3 linked regions of the Oreochromis niloticus genome follow. The protein of the gene in region 2 interacts with the protein of the main gene of each other region in a pairwise test. Links are inferred from orthologs where the notes say so. Each region holds a gene or a part of one and is shown on either strand. Other genes may lie near its edges.

What was found.
Region 1: the proteins of gorab (region 2) and scyl1 interact in a two-hybrid assay, tested with the Homo sapiens proteins (2 studies listed by BioGRID and IntAct). The link is inferred for Oreochromis niloticus from reciprocal best matches to the Homo sapiens genes GORAB and SCYL1.
Region 3: the proteins of gorab (region 2) and rchy1 interact in a two-hybrid assay, tested with the Homo sapiens proteins (3 studies listed by BioGRID and IntAct). The link is inferred for Oreochromis niloticus from reciprocal best matches to the Homo sapiens genes GORAB and RCHY1.

What each region holds. Positions count from the first base shown.
Region 1 is NC_031966.2:20,984,967-20,992,374, reverse strand, and holds the start of scyl1 (N-terminal kinase-like protein), read right to left. Parts: upstream 3,016-7,408; 5' UTR 2,899-3,015; coding exon 2,791-2,898; intron 1,462-2,790; coding exon 1,321-1,461; intron 506-1,320; exon of another isoform or gene 499-505; coding exon of another isoform or gene 475-498; coding exon 352-474; intron 269-351; coding exon 42-268; intron 1-41. UniProt on the Homo sapiens protein: Regulates COPI-mediated retrograde protein traffic at the interface between the Golgi apparatus and the endoplasmic reticulum. Involved in the maintenance of the Golgi apparatus morphology.
Region 2 is NC_031981.2:24,514,963-24,522,128, reverse strand, and holds the start of gorab (RAB6-interacting golgin), read right to left. Parts: upstream 3,081-7,166; 5' UTR 2,950-3,080; coding exon 2,895-2,949; intron 2,781-2,894; coding exon 2,456-2,780; intron 655-2,455; coding exon 553-654; intron 410-552; coding exon 269-409; intron 1-268.
Region 3 is NC_031977.2:6,682,149-6,689,088, reverse strand, and holds the start of rchy1 (RING finger and CHY zinc finger domain-containing protein 1), read left to right. Parts: upstream 1-3,933; 5' UTR 3,934-4,025; coding exon 4,026-4,076; intron 4,077-6,051; coding exon 6,052-6,171; intron 6,172-6,320; coding exon 6,321-6,436; intron 6,437-6,668; coding exon 6,669-6,747; intron 6,748-6,836; coding exon 6,837-6,881; intron 6,882-6,940. UniProt on the Homo sapiens protein: E3 ubiquitin-protein ligase that mediates ubiquitination of target proteins, including p53/TP53, TP73, HDAC1 and CDKN1B. Mediates ubiquitination and degradation of p53/TP53; preferentially acts on tetrameric p53/TP53.

The sequences.
Region 1 (7,408 bases), on a different chromosome or scaffold from region 2:
CAAAGAGCACCAGGTAGTTTTCCTCTAAATGTCACACTCACCATTTCTCTCCACTGCTGTTAGACATCTCCGGTGGGTCATATTTCTCCATGTCTGGGTAAACTGCCTTTGGTGCAGGGAGCGAGACCCCACTTGGGTCTCCCTGCTCAGGGACCACATGGTCGAGGGCTCCTAGCTTCCACTCTCCAGCTCGATCCACAAAAACAGCCCATATGCCCAGGTTGTTATGGAGCAGATGGCAGTCATTGATGAGAAAACTTAGAGCTTTCTGTAAGCAAACAGAGGTAGAGACGGTGAGAAACGACTAATAGAGGACAGCTGCCACAAACAGCTCAACTCTCCTGTCCTTACCACTATCTGGTGGAGTCCCCATGAGATCTCCAGTTCCCCAACACCACCCTTCTCTGCCCGTGCCTTCAGATGGACTGCCAGGGGTGTAACCTGCTCAGTAACCAGGTAGAGGCTCTTCTCTGTCTGTAACAACCACACCAAGCTCATCAATCAACTAAGAAAGGAAAAAAATAAAAGCAAAACTATACTTCAAAACTATTCTATGTCACTGCATTAAAGAGTAACTTGACATAGGAAAACAGCTTTTCCACACCAGTTTTTGCATTTATCCATCATATGCACAGCACATTTATACATCACAGCATTTTTCCATCAGATCTCTATTAAAAACATGCTATAAATTAATACTAAATTTACTGAATATTGGAGAGTTCAGATCACAGATATTTTAGAAGAAAAAGCGACTACTATTGCTTTGCTGGATATTTGATTATGTACCAGTTCTTCCACGTGCTCTGTTCTTGTCTACTGACTGTTTTTCCTCCGCTTGATTGTATTGTTTTCCAACCTTGTCATTGTGTACTTTCATTGCCAGGTGTCTTTGTGAAAGATGTTTCCTCTCAAAAGACTTCCTGGTTAAATAAATGATTAGCTAATGCTGTACGGTTTGCTGGTCATATTCCTTGGACAGATTCTCCAGATGAAAGGGTAAAATCATATTCTTAGTTGAGCTAATAGTGAATAGTGTATCAATTATACTCTCATTAAAATCCAAAGAGAAAGCTCTGTAATTGTCTGCTACTTCACTCACTATAACTACTACAAAACTACTACAAGCCTACAGGAGCCTATTCCCACTCACCTCTGTCTTAATGTTTAATATGCAGAGAAGAGCAGATGACGGAAATGAGACACAACTAATTATATGACAGTTACAGCAAAACATGGAATCTCAGCTCTAAATATCAAGAAAAGTGTGTTTAAAGAAAAGTGGTTTCTGTTAAATTTAAGTCACAATAAAATACATACCTCCAACCCATCAACATAGGCCAGGATGTTAGGGTGACGCAGGGTCTTCATACGCTTGAAGGCAGCCTTGGCGAGCTGGGTCTGCTGCTCTGTGCCCTGAGCCACCTCGTATACAAACACAGACACTGGCTCTCCAGTGGTCTGAGGAGAAAGATTGGAGTAAGAGCAGCAAGTTATAATTACTCCATCACTCTTAATTAAGTCAATATTTTGTGGGTGTAGTCCAAGTCTAAAATTTTACTCCAACTTGAGTATGCATGTTACTAACAGACATCACTACTTGCATGTCATTTAATTTTGTGTCTCTCCAGTATTTTCTGTTTTACCCTGTTCTCTTTATACTCTACTTTATCCATTCTCTTCTCTTTTTCTTCAGCTTTAACTGATCATGGCAGATGGCTGCCCCACCCTGAGCCTGGTTCTGCCGGACATTTCTTTCTTCACACTGTAGCCAAGTACAGCACACAGGGGATCATCTGATTGCTGGGTTTTTTCTCTAATATCATAGGGTCTTTACCTTACATTGTAAAGCACTTTGAGGCCACTGTTGTTGTCATTTGGCGCTATACAAATAAAACTAAATTAATCTGAAGTAAAGCTATCCTCTGCAAACAGACTACTCCCATTTTCCTTCCATTGTAATATATCACTGGTGTTATAGATTTACAGGTAATATTATTATAGCTATATTTAAGCAATTATAATGGGAAAAAAAATCTACATTCACCCTACAATCAAAATTCCAGAAATTAGGGTAAATTATGTACTAGCTTAATTTACACCAACGCTCCCATTTTATCGGACTGATGTGAACAGTATGGTGGCCTTACATCTGTGCTGTATTAAATATAGATATAAATGTAGCCATCGTGCAGAAAATATTACCAGTAAGCAGCAACTGTCAATACTGTATACAGAATTCTGAAAAGACATTTAATGTGACTGAGGATGATGAAAGTAGGAAGTTTGGGCTCGGCTGCCCGCGGTGAAGATGATGACACTGAGATTATAGCTTTCCGCTTCTCGGTGATAATAATGAAGCAGTGGGTTATATGCAGTGCTGTCTGCAGTTAAGACGGAATCTTTTATTCCTGAAATAAAGCATTAACTTTAAAACAGCTCAAATAAGAGCCGTTACTCGGCTAAAACGGGTGACGTGGCGAGAAATACGTGTCTGCCTCCGGGAGTAAACAAAAAGCCTGAGCTAGGCTAGTCAGCGACAATTATCAGACAGACAGACAGACCAAGCAAAAAATAAAAAAATAAAAATAAAAAAAATACATGACTACCAAGACTGACTGATTGATTGAATGAATGAAAAACACCCGAAAAACGCTAACAGAGCTGACATTTAATCTGAAGGCTAAATCAAGCTCTAAAGCTGACTTGTCAGCTTATTGGCAGGCCCCATAACCGAGCGAGCTAACGCTGACTGCTAGTGCATCAGCAGCAGCAGGCTGCCGCTTTTACCTTTCGCTTTCCCCGGTGTAGAGTCCATATTCCGGACTTTTCTTGGCTGTCTGGGAGAAGTTCATACGCAAAGTCTTTCACGGGATCCCTAGCGAAAAAGGACCACATCTCCCCTTAGCTCCGCACTTCATCAAACAAACAGCGACAGGTGAACTACACAGTGCTGCTAGCTAGCGACTGGCACGGATGTAAAATGACTCCGCGGAAACGTCGTTTCTGCCTATTAGTTCCACAAGAAGTTAAGCTTACTCAGGTTGCTGTGAAAAAAATATATATAAAAGACTTAATTTATTATGTATAAATTCCCCTCACTCGTTCTCTCACTAAATTAAAGCCTCAAACTGAACTTTGGGTAGTAATAAAATAATGTCGATGAAAACAACGTCACCTGTCCAAAAAACGTTTACAATACGTGTAGCAAAATATAAACTCAAACGAATACTTTTCTATTACAAATTAAAACGTGCTTCACAGGGGCAACCAAACTAATTAAATCCTTAAAAAAATATGAAGGGCAATAAAGTTCCATAAAAATATGTGTTCTTAGACGTGCCTTAAAGGAAGTTACTGACCATGCCAAGCTGATTTCCTTGGTCAGAATCAGAGCCATCTACCGCTAAATCAGTTTGACTTTTAAGATCTGATAAGTATGAAAAAAAAAAAAATCAAAAGTCAAAGCTGACATCCTTACTCAGCGTATGTCTCTGATATATTTTTTATAAGATAATTTTTTGAGTGTTGCCTTTTATTAGATGCAATGTAAATGTGAAGAGAGCAAGTAAACGTAGTGCACCTTTTTTCAGCTCAGACAGGACTTGGACCATAAACCTCATCTGTTAAAAACAGAACAAATAGATCAAATACATTATTAGTGTGCAAAAAGTCTTGGGCCACTCTTTGTTTCCTTATATTTCTCTACAAAAATAGGTATATGTTACAAAATTTTAATTCTATTTTAAGAACTACACATATACATTGAAACACAGCTTATGAGACAAAAACAGATTTCTGTACATTTCTAATGCACATCTTTATTCTTCAACACAGCTTGAACTCTCTTAGTCAACTGCTTTGTCTTTTACTGCATTGGCAGTTTGTTTGGGATCATTGTCATGCTAAAAAATTAAGCTGTTGCCAATCAGATGCTTTCTATGTACAACTGCATATTAAATTAAACTGTGATGACACTTTGTCTTCATATTTCCATCAGTTTCGACAAGAATTCCAACACCACTGACTGAACTGCTGCTCCAAACCCTGACACAGCCTCCACCGTGTTTTACAGATGGCTGTAGACCAGGGGTGTCGAACTCCAGGCCTCGAGGGCCGGTGTCCTGCAGGTTTTAGATAACACCCTGAGTCAACACACCTGAATCAAATGATTAGTTCATTACCAGGCTTCTGGATAACTGCAAGACACATTGAGGAGGTAATTTAGCCATTTGAATCAGCTGTGTTGGATCAAGGACACATCTAAAACCTGCAGGACACCGGCCCTCGAGGCCTGGAGTTCGACACCTGTGCTGTAGACCCTCACTGTTGTACCCCTGAGTACCTATTTCTGATGAGACTTTATCAAACAGTGAATGGATCATCTGAAGGGTCTGATGATCTCTAGAGTCCAATTTTAGGTCTTTGCTGGATTGTTTTTATTTCTTCAGAATGTGACTTTAGTCTTCATCTACTGTGGATATTTTCTATGCTTGAGATGACTTCTTTTGTCCTCCACTTGTCCATTTTACAAAAATGTTTTAAAGATACACACAATGCACACCATTCTGAGTTTTTTTAAAAGTACATTTTATGTATACGAACCAATTCACAAAAACAGTCACCTCAATACACATTATATCGTAATGTAGAAACTCTACAATATATACAAACCATAAACTTCAACAATCAGATGACCCGTTACAAACAATGGTGGGAAGGAAAAACACCTTTTTAACAGGAAGGGTAAACTGATGCAACCTTAACTATAAGCTTTTTTTAAAAAGGAAAGTTTTAAGCATAATCTTAAAATACCTTGTTAATGCAAAAATATTTTATACCTCTCAAACTGTTATTTTCAGTAGATTCAATGAAAGAAACAAATGTGATTTGTCACAGGCCACAAGTAATAAAATACCCAAGGATACAATATGAAATTCTTTGTTTGCATATTTGTGTGTAGTATGAAACATTCCCATGTATCCAACTAATTAAACTGTTTAAGGTTTGACATCACTTTCCTTTATTGCCATTTGCCTGATGAGCATGAAAATAAGTTAGTTGAGGTTGTGACACACCCCTCCCCAACAAAACATAGCTGAAGTCTACAAATAACTTTTCCTTATTCATACCTTCTTTTAAGCTTGATCAGACATCCTGCTCTTCAGTGTCATTCAATAAAAACACCCCCCCCCCCCAAAAAAAACAAACATACATGTATAGTAAAATGCTACTTTAGAGGTTTTAATTGTTCATGACACTGTACATAGTCATCTCATAGAAGAGCTGAGATCATCACATACAGCAATAGCTGGACTGTTTTATGCTGCTGTACTAAAGTGGATCCAGAGCAAGGATGACTTGTTGGATGCCTGCTGCCCTCAGGTCTTCTTTCCTGACCTCCCCTCTTCCATTTGTTATCATGTGATAGGGACCTCAAGAAGGGTAGTGTCCAGGACACAGACTGCAAAAGGAGGTTTATAAAACTGTTGCCAATCATCACAGGACATCTTGGATACAATGTTGAGTATTCTTTGTCCATTATGCCCACCTCATCAAGTCATTTACAGAATATTGATGCAATTATTTATAGAACAGAGACAAAAACAGAGACATGGTTTTAAAGTTTTATTGATCATTTCCACTCAAATATTTTCCCCACCCAGACATTGTCCTTTTATGGAATGCATATTTAAGTCGAAGTGTTATTAAATATACTTTCAGCCCCACAAAGCTTATTTAAAAAAGCAAGACACCGCAGGGAATTGAACCCCGTCCCGACAGAGTCAGGAGTGCCACCACCGGAGTCTTTTGCTTTTTGTTTTTGCTAGTTAGGGCAAAAGCAAAACCTGGAAGAACAAAACAATTTGTTCTTCCAGGAAAAGAAAACCCGACACCTGGATGCTAATTATGCTGTCACCACACGGGGATTCTCTTGGTCACGAGGCTGAAACTAGAACAGAGAGAGACATCTGGTTTCCCCAATCCCCAAAATTCCCCACAGCGACACTGTATTGGTGTATTATTCCACGAAATCCGTTTAGCCATAATAAAGCCACGATACCAGAATCCCTTGTCAAAGCGATTTTCCCTTCTGCAATTCAGCAGGACTCGCGGGTCAACTGACAGTGAAGGCTTTCTTGCCAATTTTATGGCTGTAATGGGAAAAAAGACAGACAATTTAAGCCCCCCCCACCCCACCCAAACCCCACACTTGTACCAAGACTCATCCAATATGATGGGAGATTGAATTTATCAATATGGTTGTAGTTTACCACAGCTGATGCAGCATTTACCACAGCTATTCTTCCTCTGATGCTCAGCTCTTCAATGTATTAAATGAACCCTAGAGGCTGGCAGTACCAAGTGATCCAATGACTCCCTGCAGACCTTTAAGCTGTCTGGTTCAGTAGCAAGATAAGCTGAATGAGAAATCTGAAAGGGAGAAAGAAGAGTGTTTGCGCCCCCCCCAGACCCTCCTAACCATAATACTACTGCAATGTTTGACAACGACTTTATGAACATTGTTTTACAAATAAAATGTTATGCATAGCTGATGTGCATGCAACATGTTGAGTTACACATTAAAGCCATGGTATGTTAAAGAAAAATCAAGGGAACCGAAATTACTTAACTTAGCACCCACGAGACTGAAGTGATGCAGTATTAGCGAAAACAAGCTTGCAGCTCTTGATCTTAATGTGACTGGATTCTCAGTGTTCCATCACAGGTTAGGCCATCCCAGATGAAAAATTAAGAATTTGGGGTAATTTGACCTGAGAAACCAAAGGGAAAGAAAAAGGCACACAAACACAGAGCGGGGGCTTCTGCGAAGGACGTCAGGGGTTCAGATTTAAGCTCAAGCGCACAGGGGATTGGTACTTCATTCAGGGGCCACACTCATATCGCTGACAGCTTCCACAGATGGCTTTGCATTCAGAGGCAGGCGAGATCGGAGTGGACAGACGAGAATGATCTGAAACAAAGAGTGATCTACACAACACACCCACCACACAATACTCAAAGATTCGGGTTCTACTCATCTTATGGTTTTAAGATGCAAAGCAATAGGGCCCCAAGGCCAAAGAGGAATAAGCTAGTAAAGCATTGTTACTGATGATTTGAGGTTAACATAAAGCCAGTTCCAAGATGTCATTTTGTCAACTACAACATTGCAGAAGTTTTGACAAGTAAAGCCAACAGCTTACTACATGCTCCGGGTTAGGACTTGACTCGTGCTTGTACCAGTCTTGCACTGTGAGTTCTGTGAAGAGAAGTGTAGGGATACGCCCAACCACAACCATAGCACAAAAGAATCTAAGGCAGCACATTTGCGCTGCATTTCAGACCAAATTAAGCCGCACCATGCGCAGCTTTCCTCAGCTGCTTAAATTTTGAAACTTCGCAC
Region 2 (7,166 bases):
TTTAGTCAATATTCATCCCTAGTGGAGAGTGACACTTCAACTGGTCAACTGACATGCATGTGTGGATGCATTCTAATGCCTAAGGTGTGACCTAACTAAGGTGACTGGATCACAGGTACCAGGTGTGAATGTGGGCTTAAGTGTACCGGTGGGCCATGAAGTCATCAAAAACCATCTGTGCTTTCAGTATTGTAACAAATTCATGTCAGCTGTGGAAAAAGGTTTACTGACACTTTTTTAAATATTTTTTTCCTGATGTTAAGTCTACCTTGCAGCTGTGTAGTCCCAACTGGCTTGCTCTATCTTTCCTCTCAGGATGCCAATGTCATTAGACACCATGTCGTCGAGGGCTTGCAGCTCTTTCTGGATTCTCTTTAGCTTTACAGTCTCTTCCTGAGTCTGTTTGGATCTGTGGAAAATAATAAACCATTCATACATATTGGGGTTTTTTTGTTGTTTTTACCTTGACCTTAATCTTTGCAGTTTTGAGGCCCATTTATATTCATCATGTTGACTTGGTATTCTAGGGAGCACCAAACTACATATACTTACTTCTCAGCGATAGTTTTTGCCAGCAGAGCTTTCTTGCGTTTGTTTCTCTCTTCGATGATTTTCTGCTCTTGCTGAAGTTGCTCCAGACGTGTCTTTTCCCGTCTGCCATCACACAAAATGAGAATTTAAACAAATACATTTGCAATTTCATCTCAGAAAGACCAAACAAAAAACATCAGCATTATGAAAGGAACAGTGTCTTTCAAAATAATTCAAATTTACAAACACAACAGCACCCTATGGTATGGGTTTGGCAAATTATTATTTGTAAGATTTAATCACTGTGTGTTGATATTCTGATTCCCTTTTTTCCCCAAGTATCTGGTGGAGATCAGAATCTGAATCAGAGAAACCTTATTCATCCCAGAGGGAAATTGAGTAAGATGTGGACAGTGCTGAGGTAGTATGCATAAATTTAACTGAAATGTGAGCCACATGTACAAGACTGACAGCACTGTCATTTATACAGCACTCAAATCACATGGATCATATACTATGATTGCTTTGACAGCCAAAGATATCCACAAGAATGATGCATCATTCTTTTGGTTATCGCTTTGATCTACATCACCCACCAACCAACACTGCCAACCAAGGCCCACCCCCTCCGTGAGGGGGTGGGCTCCTTTAATGCTTCCTGAGCAGTTTCTTTACACTGTTCAACCCTTACAGTGTAAAGAAACTGCTCAGGAAGCGTTAAAGGAGCAGGACAAAGAACCCAGAGGTTTTTGCAGGTCTCCCAAACTACCCACATCTAAATCTGTTCCAAATCTGAAAGAAGTCTGTTCCATAGAGGCCATATTTTGGAAACCCACAGGAACCAAAGGATCCACAGCCACTGTTACAATGACAGGATACCCTGACAAGTCCTGTGTGCTGGAAATCAATAATTTCCAATGATTTGTCTATACAGAAGCAAAGGCGTTTATTTTCCACAACCATCACTTTTATGTTCCACTAGAACATTAACTAAACATTGATACAGCACTGATGAGTGCTATGCATCCAGCAGCAAAGTAGGGCAGAGAGGAGCCATCTACTGTGGTAAGTTAAAGTTTTGTTTCTCACCCAGATAGACTGCATTAACTAGACGCATTAACTGATTTGATATGATCTCAAATCAATGTCACGACTGAATGTCAACATTCAAAAATGTCAACATTTCCTGGCCGGACGAGTCATGTGATAACCCATTCGGTACTACATTATAAAGGGGACATTGCATACCTCTAACAAAGTCAAGAACACTCCCGAGGAGGTGGGTATCATTATCAAAGTCTAAAATCAAGAGGTACTTTTATGTGGGGAAATGCCAAGGTTTACAGCAAGTGCAAACTACTAGTTACATTCAAGAACAAGAAGACCAGAATAGACTTTACCAAAAACCCATCTGAAAGAGACTGCCTAATGCTGAAAATTAATTCTTTCGCTAAATAAAATCAACATGAATTTGTATCAGAAAGACCAAAAGATAAAAATATGCAGGAAGACTGTTTCAACTTATAAAAAATTATCCTTATATTTAAAATTAAATTTCTCCAAATACTTTTGAGCCTTAGAATATGGGGGACAATGCATAAAAATGGGTACGGTTTCTAAACAGTTGATGATAATTAATCAAAGCTGAAGATCTGCCCTTCAATCACATCTTGGTTGTTTTAAAATCCTTTGTGGTAAAACTACAAAAAATGTGTTTTTGTCCAAGAAATGTTGGATCTATTTGTATATTTAGATTCACTCTGATACAGTCTCAAAGAAGAGCACAGAATGGCCCAGCGTGTGCATGAAAACACACAATGCATGTTTGTGCATGTTTGCTACCCTGGTATTACACCTACTATGTAAATATTGGTCAGTGTACCTGTCATCTTTACAGTGCACGTGAGAACAAAATCATACTAACAATTCAATCTCTTGCTTATCCAGCTCTTTAACCACTGGGGTTTCTTCTTCTGTTGTCGGTTGGTCGTTTTCATTGGGCTTCATTATAGCGGGCTCCTGCTGCACCTCTTGTTTGACAGTGGGTGTTGTCGCCGGGGCTGTGGGTTTAGGCTCTTCCCTCGGGGACGGTTTGGTGAGTTGTTGTTCGGGTGAAAGAACAAGTGACTCGGCTCCTGTGCTTTTTTGGGCTGCTGACTGCAGGGCTCTTTCTCGCTGCAACTGCTGCCGACTCCGGTTACCTGAAGCCGGTTTTCGACCCCGGACTGGAGGTGCAGATACAGTAGAGTCTGAAAAAGGACACGTGACCATGGTTACTACTACAGTAAAGAAGTAGGAATAAAATATCAGAGTGAAGTGCTGAGTGCTTCGTCTCTCACTAGCAGCAAGAAAGATTAACTTACCTTTCTGCTGTATCCTGCGCAGCTCCTCGTCTGAAAAACCGGCCCAACCGCTCATTTTGCAACTCGACTAACGAGACACATGTAGGAAATACTCCAATTACTTAAGACTACAAAGTTTTTAATTCAGAGTAAAATTCAACGAAGGTGTAAACGCCACCGCCATCTTTGTTTATTAATGCCACGTCAAGGACCCCAAAAAGACCCACGAAATTGAAGTCCTGCATATCGCCTGAATTAAATCAACGAAGAAGAACGAACTAACTTGAAATCTAATTGAGATAATCAACAATAATAATAGCAGTATATCCTCCAGATAATTATACGTTGATGAGCTTAAAATGTGCTTCTAGGTATTTTATTTATCTTCGCAACTGGTATAAAAAATATATAAAAGGCAAAGTTCTGAACACCCGATCAACAGACTGAAAATGTTCTTGTGCTCTGTGCTTGTGGCTTGATAGTCATTAAGCAGTGTTGGGGAGTAACGGAATACATGTACCGCCGTTACGTATTTAGAATACAAAATATGAGTAACTGTATTCCGTTACAGTTACCGTTTAAAAAGGTGGTATTCAGAATACAGTTACTTTGTTGAAATAAATGGATTACACGGCGGTACTTCCCTGTTTCATATTGTCGCGGGTCAGGATTATTTGGGTTTGTTTGACAGCTACGTTCTGTTGTTCCAGGCGGCAGCGTTACGGTTGCCATGGTTACAGGGTGACGCTCTCTCTCTGCGTGTTTCCTGGGTGAGAGAGCGCTTTTTTGTTGTTGTTGTTGTGCTAAGCTAATAGGCAGAGTGCTACAGGCATAGCTCTAAAGAATGTAGCATGATGGGCAGTGTAGTCCGTGCTGCAGGGAGAATGGACTACCATACCCGTTATGTGTCTGTGAGCGAGGGAGGGAGAGAAAGGAAGTCCGAGCTGTCACGGAGCAAAAACGGGAGCTGGAAGCATGTAAATATAATAATAACCACTGCAGCCAAGAAGAGTGCCTGACGAGCCCATTTGTAAGTAAGCTATTTTAAGACTCGACTGTACACTGTGTTCGTGTTTTCCTCCGGAAAAAAATAAGTTCTGTTGGAGCAGCCTTTCAACGCCTCTCTCTGTCTCTGGCAAGCAAAGTTGACCCAGACAACAAAGTAAAGCTAGTTTTCGGCTACCAGCCCGACACGGAACCCACCGTATTAGCCAGAGGTCCCTTTACTACGGTTCGGAGCCGCGGACCTTCAGTAACAGTAATAAATCACAGCAATAGGACATTCACGTAGTTGTAAACAGCATGATAATATATTAAGTAAACCAAAGTATTCAGAATACGTTACTCTCATTGAGTAACGTAACGGAATACGTTACAGAATACATTTTGGGGCATGTATTCAGTATTCTGTAATGGAATACATTTTAAAAGTAACCTTCCCAACACTGTCATTAAGTGTTGTTGACTAATTAATTGATTTTTACACACACACACACACACACACACACACATCCTAGGATGCATTATTTATCACAAAACGAAACAAAACGAAACTGAGAGCTAGTGGAAACTTTTAGAACTTTATACAACAATTTGATTAGTTCCTAAAATTAAAGAATGCACTTGCAAGTTCAATGAATGGGAATGCTATGGAAGGCAACTGAAGTGGATGATTACAGGTTCCTTTTCTCTTCTCTGGGGGAAAAAACACTCCTGAAAATATCTCACCAAATGAAGAACACTTTCATTGAAGTATCTACAGCCATGCAATGCATTTATTAATTCAGAGTTTACCTCAGTAAGATGTACAAGTCTACAGGGCTATACTCTCTTAATAACATTTTAAAATTCACACAGCAGTGGGGAATACATTTCAGCACAGTAGGCATGTTACCCTCTTCAATACCATGTGCTGACACAGTACAGAACAACTACCCCAGAAGTCATTTATCTCATTAGTAGTGCTACATCCTCACTGCATACGACCCTTGATACTGTGGCTCCTCTGAAAAATAAAGCTTCAAATCAAAAGTACTTGAGTCCCTCAAACGTGCACCTTACAGCTGACAACCAGTAAGCTAGAGAGGAAATGGCATCTCACAAAATTAGAAGATCTTTATTTAGCCCAGAAAAAGAGTTTGTTGCTCCATAAACAAACAAACAAAAAACAACAACAACAACAAAGGCCTTCCTAAAGCTGGGACATCTTACTTGTATCACTGATTCAAGAAATGAAGAATAACCCCATGTTTCTCTTCAGAACTATAACCCGGGTGTCAAAGAGTTAGAGCTCTTTTGAACTTTCCTTTCACAGTAACTAGTTGTGACTTAATACATTTCTTCAAGAAAAACAAATTAACAATTAGAGAAAAAAACAATCATGTTCACACTCAAAGTCCTACCATTAATTAACACTTTGATCTTAAATATCAGTCTTTCTATTAATGGCCTACATACCACATGTCTGTAAGGTGGCAGTAATTAAACCAGGTTCAGTCAGGACAAGCGTCAAATCTAAAAATAGTCATGAATGAAAACGTTCCGAAGTAAAGCGATCTCTCTCCTTTTATCTCAGACAGCGCTGCAATAAAGCTCATCCCCCTTCACTTAATATGTGCATCCATCGTTTACACGTCGCTGAAAGCTGTGCTTAATTCAATCTTATAGAAAAATGTAATTGTCTCTGTCGCTGAGGATGTATCCAGGCACAGCTGACAATGACTGGGGGCTAGCGGAGAGGCCAGCAGCTTCTCTCTTGTAGTTTGCGCATGTGCGTTGTGGATAAACTGTAGGTCTTTGGCAGTAATCTGATGGGAAACCAGAGTGCGTGGCAAGCTGTGCAATATCCTTTTTTAGCAGAACTATATTTATGTATACTTATACTTTTATTTTTACTATCTTATTATATTTGCTATATTATTGTATTATCTAATTTCATGGATGAATGATGAGTGTAACCAAGTAAGAATGTATGTATGGTAGTCTGCTGAAACGTAAGCTCTCCTCCAATTTCACTACCCAAGTACAGCGACAATTAAGGAGACTTTATCTTATGTTTATCTTTAGTTATAGGCCAATCTTGAACCTTCCTTTTAATCTCAAACATTCCCTAAGAGCACTTCGCTCTCACACTGTGGACTTACTTAAAAGTAGAATGGGAGGCAGAGCCTCCAGCTTTCAGGCCCTCTTCTGTGGAACCAGATCCCAGTTTGGACTTGAGAGACAGACACGCTTTCTACTTTTTAAAATTAGGCTTAAAACTTTCCTTTGTTTCTAAAGCATATGGTTACGTCTAGATCAGTTGACCTTGAATCCCCCCTTAGTTACACTGCAATAGGTTTAGGCTGTTGCCTTGATGAGTATTTCTTCTTCACTCACCTTTTTCAGTCGCTGTGTTTTATACACCAGTCTGAATTTAGTCATTAATTATTATTAATCCCTCTTTAACAGTGTGCCTCTTATTCTGTCTTTCCCCCATCGCTCCCAACCAGTCATGGTAGATGGCTGCCCCTCTCTGAGACTGGTTCTGCCAAAGGTTTCTTCTTGTTAAAAAGGAGTACCTATTTCCTTCTCACTGTCGCTAAAGTGCTTGCTCAGAGTGGGTCGTTTCTGTCTATCATTGCAGGGCCTTTGCCTTACAATTTGAAGCGCCTTGAGGCAACTGTTGTGATTTGGCACTCCATAAATAAAATGAATTGAATTGAATTGAATATAATATAATGAGTGAGTCATGGTGAAGGTGAATGCAGTGGCCTGTTGACTGCAGGCAGGGCAAGAAAAGAATTTCAGAACTGCCCTGAAAAGACCTGGATCCACATTTTTGGTTTTAATTGCTTTACTGTACTCATTATGATTTGAATTTTACATAGCACAGGGTTTTCCGTTTAGCCAGTGTAACGGCAGTTTTTTCCTTGTCATTGGTGAGGAGAAGAATGGTGTAAAAACAATGACCCCTGCCTGGCAACTAATAAAAACTGGCATTCACATCATTTTTTTCACCTGGGGGCCAATTATGTGCAAGTTAAAAGGCGAAACACCTCAGGAGGGCATAAATCGCCGACAGAGTTAAGACAGAGCTGGGTATGGAGGCCAGATGGCAAGGAGAGAATAACTCTGGGCTCAAAGTGTGTTGGGCTGAGGATGAGACAGCCTTGGATAGCTGATTAGGAAGGAAGGACCAGATGGCTCATTACTGAGATGACCTGTAGAGGCAGTTTAAGGTTAGAGGTGGAGGAAGCATCTAAATACCTCGTATGAATGGATAGTAGTGATAAAAGAGAATGGCAATTGGAG
Region 3 (6,940 bases), on a different chromosome or scaffold from region 2:
ATTAGGAGGGATAAGAAAAGTAACAGCAATTGACTGCAATCTGCAATCTACTGACATCTAATGGTGAGATTTTACACGCTGTAACTTTAATAAAAATAGAAAATAATAAGTCACCTCCTCTACATAGATGACATCAAGGTGTATGCCAAGAGTGAATGAGACATTGATTTACTCATCCACATCACCAAGATATACACCAACAACATCAGAATGTCGTTCAGACTGGAGAAATGTAGTCGGATGATAACAAAGACAAGGAAGGTAATCAGAACTGAGAGGATCAAACTACCAGAAGGCAACATTGCAGACACTGAGGACAGCTACAACTACCTGAGTATCCCACAGGCAAATGGAAACCATGAAGAGGCCACTAGGAAAGCTGCAACCACCAAGTACCTGCAGAGGGTCAGGCAAGTCCTGAGGAGTCAGCTGAACAGTAAGAACAAGATCTGGGCCATCAATACCTACGCCCTGCCCGTGATCAGGTACCCTGTTGGGATAATAAGCTGGCCAAAGGAGGAGATATAAGCCACTGACATCAAGACAAGGAAGCTCCTGACCATGTATGGAGGGTTTCACCCCAAGTCAGCACACTGAGGCTGTAAGCTAAGCAGAAGGAAGGAGGCCGGGGAGAAGTGAGTGTCAACACTATGGTCCAGGATGAGACAACGAACATCCATGAATACATCTGGAAGATGGCCCCCGTGTGCTCAGTGAATACCTCAGGCAGCAGAAACCCAAGAAAGAGGAGGAAGAGGAGGAACCATCATGGAAGGACAGGCTTCTGTACAGTATGTACCACCAGCAGATAGCGGAAGTGGGTGACATCCAGAAATCCTACCAGTGGCTGGACAAAGCTGGACTGAAAGACAGCACAGAGGCACTAATCATGGCAGCACAAGAACAAGCTCTGAGTACAAGATCCATAGAGGCTGGGGTCTATCACACCAGGCAAGACCCCAAATGCAGGCTGTGTAAAGATGCCCCTGAGACAATCCAGCACATAACAGCAGGGTGCAAGATGCTAGCAGGCAGGGCATACATGGAACGCCATAACCAAGTGGCCGGCATAGTATACAGAAACATCTGTGCCAAGTGCCGAATATGGCCTGGAAGTCCTGAGGTCAAAATGGGAGACGCCCCCAAGGGTGATGGAGAATGACCAAGCTAAGATCCTGTGGGACTTCCAGATACAGACAGACAAAATGGTGGTGGCTAAACAACCGAACATAGTGGTGGCAGAAGAAGACGGCCGTAGTGATAGATGTAGCGATACCAAATGACAACAACATCAGGAAGAAGGAACACGAGAACCTTGAGAAGTACCAAGGGCTCAGAGAAGAGCTGGAGAAGATGTGGAGGTTGAAGGTAACAGTGGTCCCAGTGGTAATCGGAGCACTAGGTGCGGTGACTCCCAAGCTAGGCGAGTGGCTCCTGCAGATCCCAGGAACAACATACAACATCCGAGATCTCTGTCCAGAAGAGCGCAGTCCTGGGAACAGCTAAGATACTGAGCAGGACCCTGAAGCTCCCAGGCCTCTGGTAGAGGACCCTGCAGGGGCGAGAGGGGATATATAACAACAGTTAAATGTCATTCATAGGTTTTTTTCTCAGCATCTCAGGTGATTTACCAAAGTGCCCCAATTTACCTGAGTTCACCCTTGCTCTTTTGAAATTATGCTATGTTAAAAAAAATCATATTGAGAAAATTATTGCAAAATATTCACCAATACAGTCAGAATTAGGTTGATAAGTAGTTGAACAATTGCACAGTCTTTTGTAATTTTGCTTCTGAACACCAGTGGACCAGCGACTGATGTACAGGCTTTAATTTAAAGGGTTTTACAAAAGTGTTGTATTAACCATTCATTACTGAGACATTTCATTTTAATGTCAGTCCCCCATTTTATGGTTCAAAACATAGTTGGACACACTAACATAAACTTAAATGTATGAATTGTCATTAATGAGTGGATGAAAATGATTTCCATTCAATAATTACCTTGAGTCTATAAGTCATAGGCATCACTAAATGCTGTGCCGGATGTTTACTACAGTTGCTGCTTGTTTGTGGGTTTCTCTGCTTTAATCTTTGTCTTCATTCACAAAATTACATTAAATGTGTCATTGTCCAAAAACATATTAATCTAAGTGTACACCTATGATAGATCAATATCAGCTGAGTATATTGGATAATTGCTTGGTCAGGATCCATGTATTGAGTATAATTCATGCACAGCTGTTGAACATGTATAATGAGAATCACTGGTTTTGGGTTATTGTCTTACTTGTAGTGATGCAATACTATATGTCAATACTGTACTGAAAACATATTCAGCTGATCCCACCTAAAATCAGTGTTGTAAAAACTGAGTTCCTTGAGGCGGCCTTATTCTTTTCAACACTAAGATAATACATTTATGGATGAAAATAGTAAATACTCATGATGGGCCTTCTGGAAATGAAATATTTACTATGTGAGTCCATCCATCCATCCATCCATCTTCATCCGCTTTATCCGAGGCCGGGTCACAGGGGCAGTAGCCTAAGCAGGGAAGCCCAGACCTCCCTCTCCCCAGCCACCTCCTCCAGCTTATCCGGGGGAACACCAAGGCGCTCCCAGGCCAGCCGAGAGATGTAATCTCTCCAGCGTGTCCTGGGTCTGCCCCGGGGCCTCCTCCCGGTGGGACATGCCTGGAACACCTCACCCAGGAGGCGCCCAGGAGGCATCCTTGTCAGATGCCCGAACCACCTCAACTGGCTCCTTTCGATGTGGAGGAGCAGCGGCTCTACTCTGAGCCCCTCCCGGATGGCTGAACTTCTCACCCTATCTCTAAGGGAGAGGCCAGCCACCCTTGGGAGGAAGCTCATTTCTGCCGCTTGTATCCGCGATCTCGTTCTTTAGGTCACTACCCACAGCTCGTGGCCATAGGTGAGGGTAGGGACGTAGATCGACCGGTAAATTGAGAGCTTCGCTTTTACACTCAGCTCCCTTTTCACCACGACGGACCGGTGCAGCGTCCGCATCACTGCAGCCGCAGCACCAATCCGTCTGTCGATCTCCGGCTCCCTTCTCCCATTACTCGCTAACAAGACCCCGAGATACTTGAACTCCTCCACTTGGGGCAGGAACTCATCCCCGACCCGGAGTGGGCACTCCACCCTTTTCCGGCTGAGAACCATGGCCTCAGATTTGGAGGTGCTGATCCTCATTCCAAAACTTTTAAATGAATACTTTAAAAACGGCTGAAAAAAAGGGGTTCAGAATAAAGCAAATTCCAAATTGTGTGGTATTCTAGGCTGTGTCCATATAGAGGTCAAGCAAAATAAACCAGAAACCCTCTAAATCTGCTCTGTTTCGGTTCATAAAGTCTAAAATCCTTACATCTTATTTAGAAGCACACTCCCAGCTCTTTTAACATGGCATGCTCATTGGGTTTATGTGGTCATGGGTCTAAAGAAGAATGAAGAGGTTTGGAAATTAGGCTTAGACACTCAGAAGCAAATCAAAGGCCACAGAAAAAGTCTGGTGCACAGTGGTGAGGGAAGTGCAACACTAAAGCAAAGAGGAGGATTCTATATTATAAACAACAAGATTATTTCAGAAATATGACATGTAGATAGTGCAGGGAATTAATACAGAAAAAGAATATTTTAACTTAGATTGAATCTTGCTGGTCTGTGTGAACACTGTTAGGCTGAAAAGGAGATCGCTCTTTAGACTAAAATGAACCTTAAAGTTGTGTGGACATGTTTAATGTTCTTTAAGAGACACTATTTATGGGCGAAATAAAATACTGTATAAAATAGTTTGTTTTGTTTTGTTTTTTTATTTTGTGTGTGTTTGTTTTTCCTTTTTTGTGTTTTGAGTCATTGGACAGGATTTGTACAGACTGCAATTCACATTCCGAAGCAGAGGTGGCGCTAATGCAACCTCAATGATGACATAACCAACAGCGCAGGAGCCAACAGCGCAACGCTGTAGAGCGGAGGGAGAAGAAGAAGCGTTCCATTTCGGGGTAAACATGGCTGCTTCTGCTGGTTGTGATCATTACATTCGCAGCTGCTTATTGAAAGTGAGTGAAATGATTTAAAATATGTTCGTACATTTGCCTTACATATACGGTGGAGGCAAATAGGCTTTGAATATGCCAAGTTATAACTGTGCTATAACGATTATGTCGTCGGTATATCTCTGCGAGAGACTGTCATAGTTAGCTAGCTAGCTAGTCATTTAGTCTTCAGCCGGTAAACGCCGCTGTAACAGGATTAAATAATAATGAACTTTTTGGACGGCATGATTTTGTATAATATCTGCACGGCATTGTTGAAGCGAGGGGCTTGAGAGTTTCTGGAGCTTTTCTCGCCTCCTTCCCTCCGGTCTTAGTCCTTCGCATCATAATTACGCGCGGAGGAGACTAGGAAGCTTGCTCCCTCTCACATTTGGAAAATAAGAAGAATGAGAGTTTATGTATCTAGCACAAAAGAGCACAAAACTGAATAGAATTTAAAATTGTTGCTTTCCTAATCGGTTGTACTTGACCTTGACAGAAAACGTCAGGGGGGAGGTCAAGGAAAGGCGTGGAGAATTAATCATTTATTTTATATACACTTTAATTACGTAACCTTTACACGCTGTTTATATTAAAATCTTTTACATTGTGTCCAAATTTTGATGTACAGATCTATTTAAAGTGTGTAAACAGCCTACCTGACATTGATAAGTGGATGACTCATCTTTATATTTTCAAACAGCAGGGAGAATGTACTTTTTTTTATGTCTTGGAGCCAAAACGTCTGATGCCACATGATATCATGTCCTTTTGTACCCAACACGTGACAAATATATTTTATCCTCATGTCCTCACTGCAATATCAGAAATAACACATTCTTAAGTCTGCTATTTAGTATATAGCTATCAATATAAATTGAATTAACTATTCTAAATGTTAATTGAATTGCAAATAACATTTACAACACAAAATATTGCGAACTTTCAAAGTAGTCTGTGCATTCAGAACAGTGGTAGGATACCTTTCATATCCGGGAGGACTTGTATATGTGCATCTTACACACACACACACACACAGACACACACACAAACACTGAAATGCACCAGGGGCTCAGATGCTTATGAACCGCTTAACCCCTCTATTAATTTCTGTTTGAATCGCAGTTCATTTAGAATAAATAGAGCATACATTTTTATTAATTTTTGGTTTGTAGTTAAATTGCAGATAAAAGTGCACCGATTGACCTGCCAACGACGTGATCAGCCAATTTTTAACTAATTATTTAATTAATTTATTTATTTATTGCATTCTCAGTCCCAACCCACGAATGGCTGGTCAGGCTCATCCATGCACACTCACAGCAATATGCTAATGTGTCATTAGTGTGGAGGCTCCTCACTGTGAGCCAGGACGTTTATAACAGCACGCCTAATCAGACACTTGATTAGTAGCTGAACATGGACATTTTAAATAACTTTTTAAAAAAAAGTGGCTAAAGCTAAAGCTGTTCAGAGTTCAGTCAGCTAGAAGCCAGCAGCCTGGGTATGAGAATCCAAACAGCTCCAGTTATCAGGGGAATTTATAAATGTTGTTTTGTTATATAGCATCGGCTTTTGTTTGATAAGGTAAAATATGTAAAATAAAGGTGGGTGTACCGCAGCTAATTGTTATTTAATTATTTGTACTTCTTTCCAGTAGCAGAGCATTTTTTTTTTTCAGTTGTTTAATAGAGAGGAGCTCCTGTAACGTACTGCTGTTTGGGAGAAATCTTAAAGTTTTATCATATATGCACATGCATATAATATTTACAGACACACACACAATTGCTGTGACAGTGTCAAGCTTCCTCTTGAACTTTGTCAGCACTGTTTAATAAAGAATTTTCAGAATAAGGATTACATTTAGACACACACACACACACACACACACACACACAGCAGCTTAGTGAGTTATTGCTACAGCTACACAAACTGTGATAGGACTACTATACCCATCCCTGTCTGTGCCCTGTGTAATCGCGTTTCTGCTGTACTGCAGGCACCTTGCTGCGGTAAACTGTATGTGTGTCGGCTGTGCCACGATGCAGAGGAGAACCACCAGATGGATCGATTCAAAGTCAGAGAGGTGCAGTGCTCAGCGTGTCTGAAGGTGCAGCAGGTAACTGAGGAAAAGCTAGTTAACGTGTTTGAGCTCCACCGTCGGTTACAGCAGGACCTCTCGATGTCACCTTAGTGCTTGAGTTGTACTTTTGATTATGGTTAGCTCGGATGAAGGGAAAAAGCTGTACAAATGTTATACTTTTGTAGACACAGCAGACTTGTCAGCAATGTCATTTGCTGTTTGGGGAGTATTACTGCGACGTTTGCCACTTGTTCGACAAAGACAAGAAGCAGTACCACTGTCAGCCCTGTGGAATCTGCAGGTAAGAAACTGATTTGATATATGTTTTAAGTGTCTAAATATTTCTATGTGTAACTTTAGTAGTAATAATGATACAGGTACTGGGGAAATGTCTTCTTAATGTTCCCCACAAAATTTTCCCATTTTCTTTAATAATCACAATGTTGTGTTTTGTTGTGCTGATATTTCACTGTTCACGAAACACGTGATGGCAAAATTAGTCATTTAGTGAGTTTTCAAATGTGCCTCTACAGGATTGGGCCCAGAGAGAAGTACTTTCACTGCGAGAAGTGCAATTTGTGTTTAGCTCAGGAACTGCGAGGAAACCACAAGGTGACTATTGCTGTGTTCCTGACTCACCCACATCTGTCTGTATTTTGAGCCCTCACAGTTTTAATTTCCCTTTATTTTTTATGTTTCAGTGTGTTGAAAATGTTTCAAGGCAGAACTGTCCTGTCTGCATGGAGGTAACAGCATTAATGGGATACAAGGCGAGGAGGATGTTGGCTCTTTTTTTAATCTATTT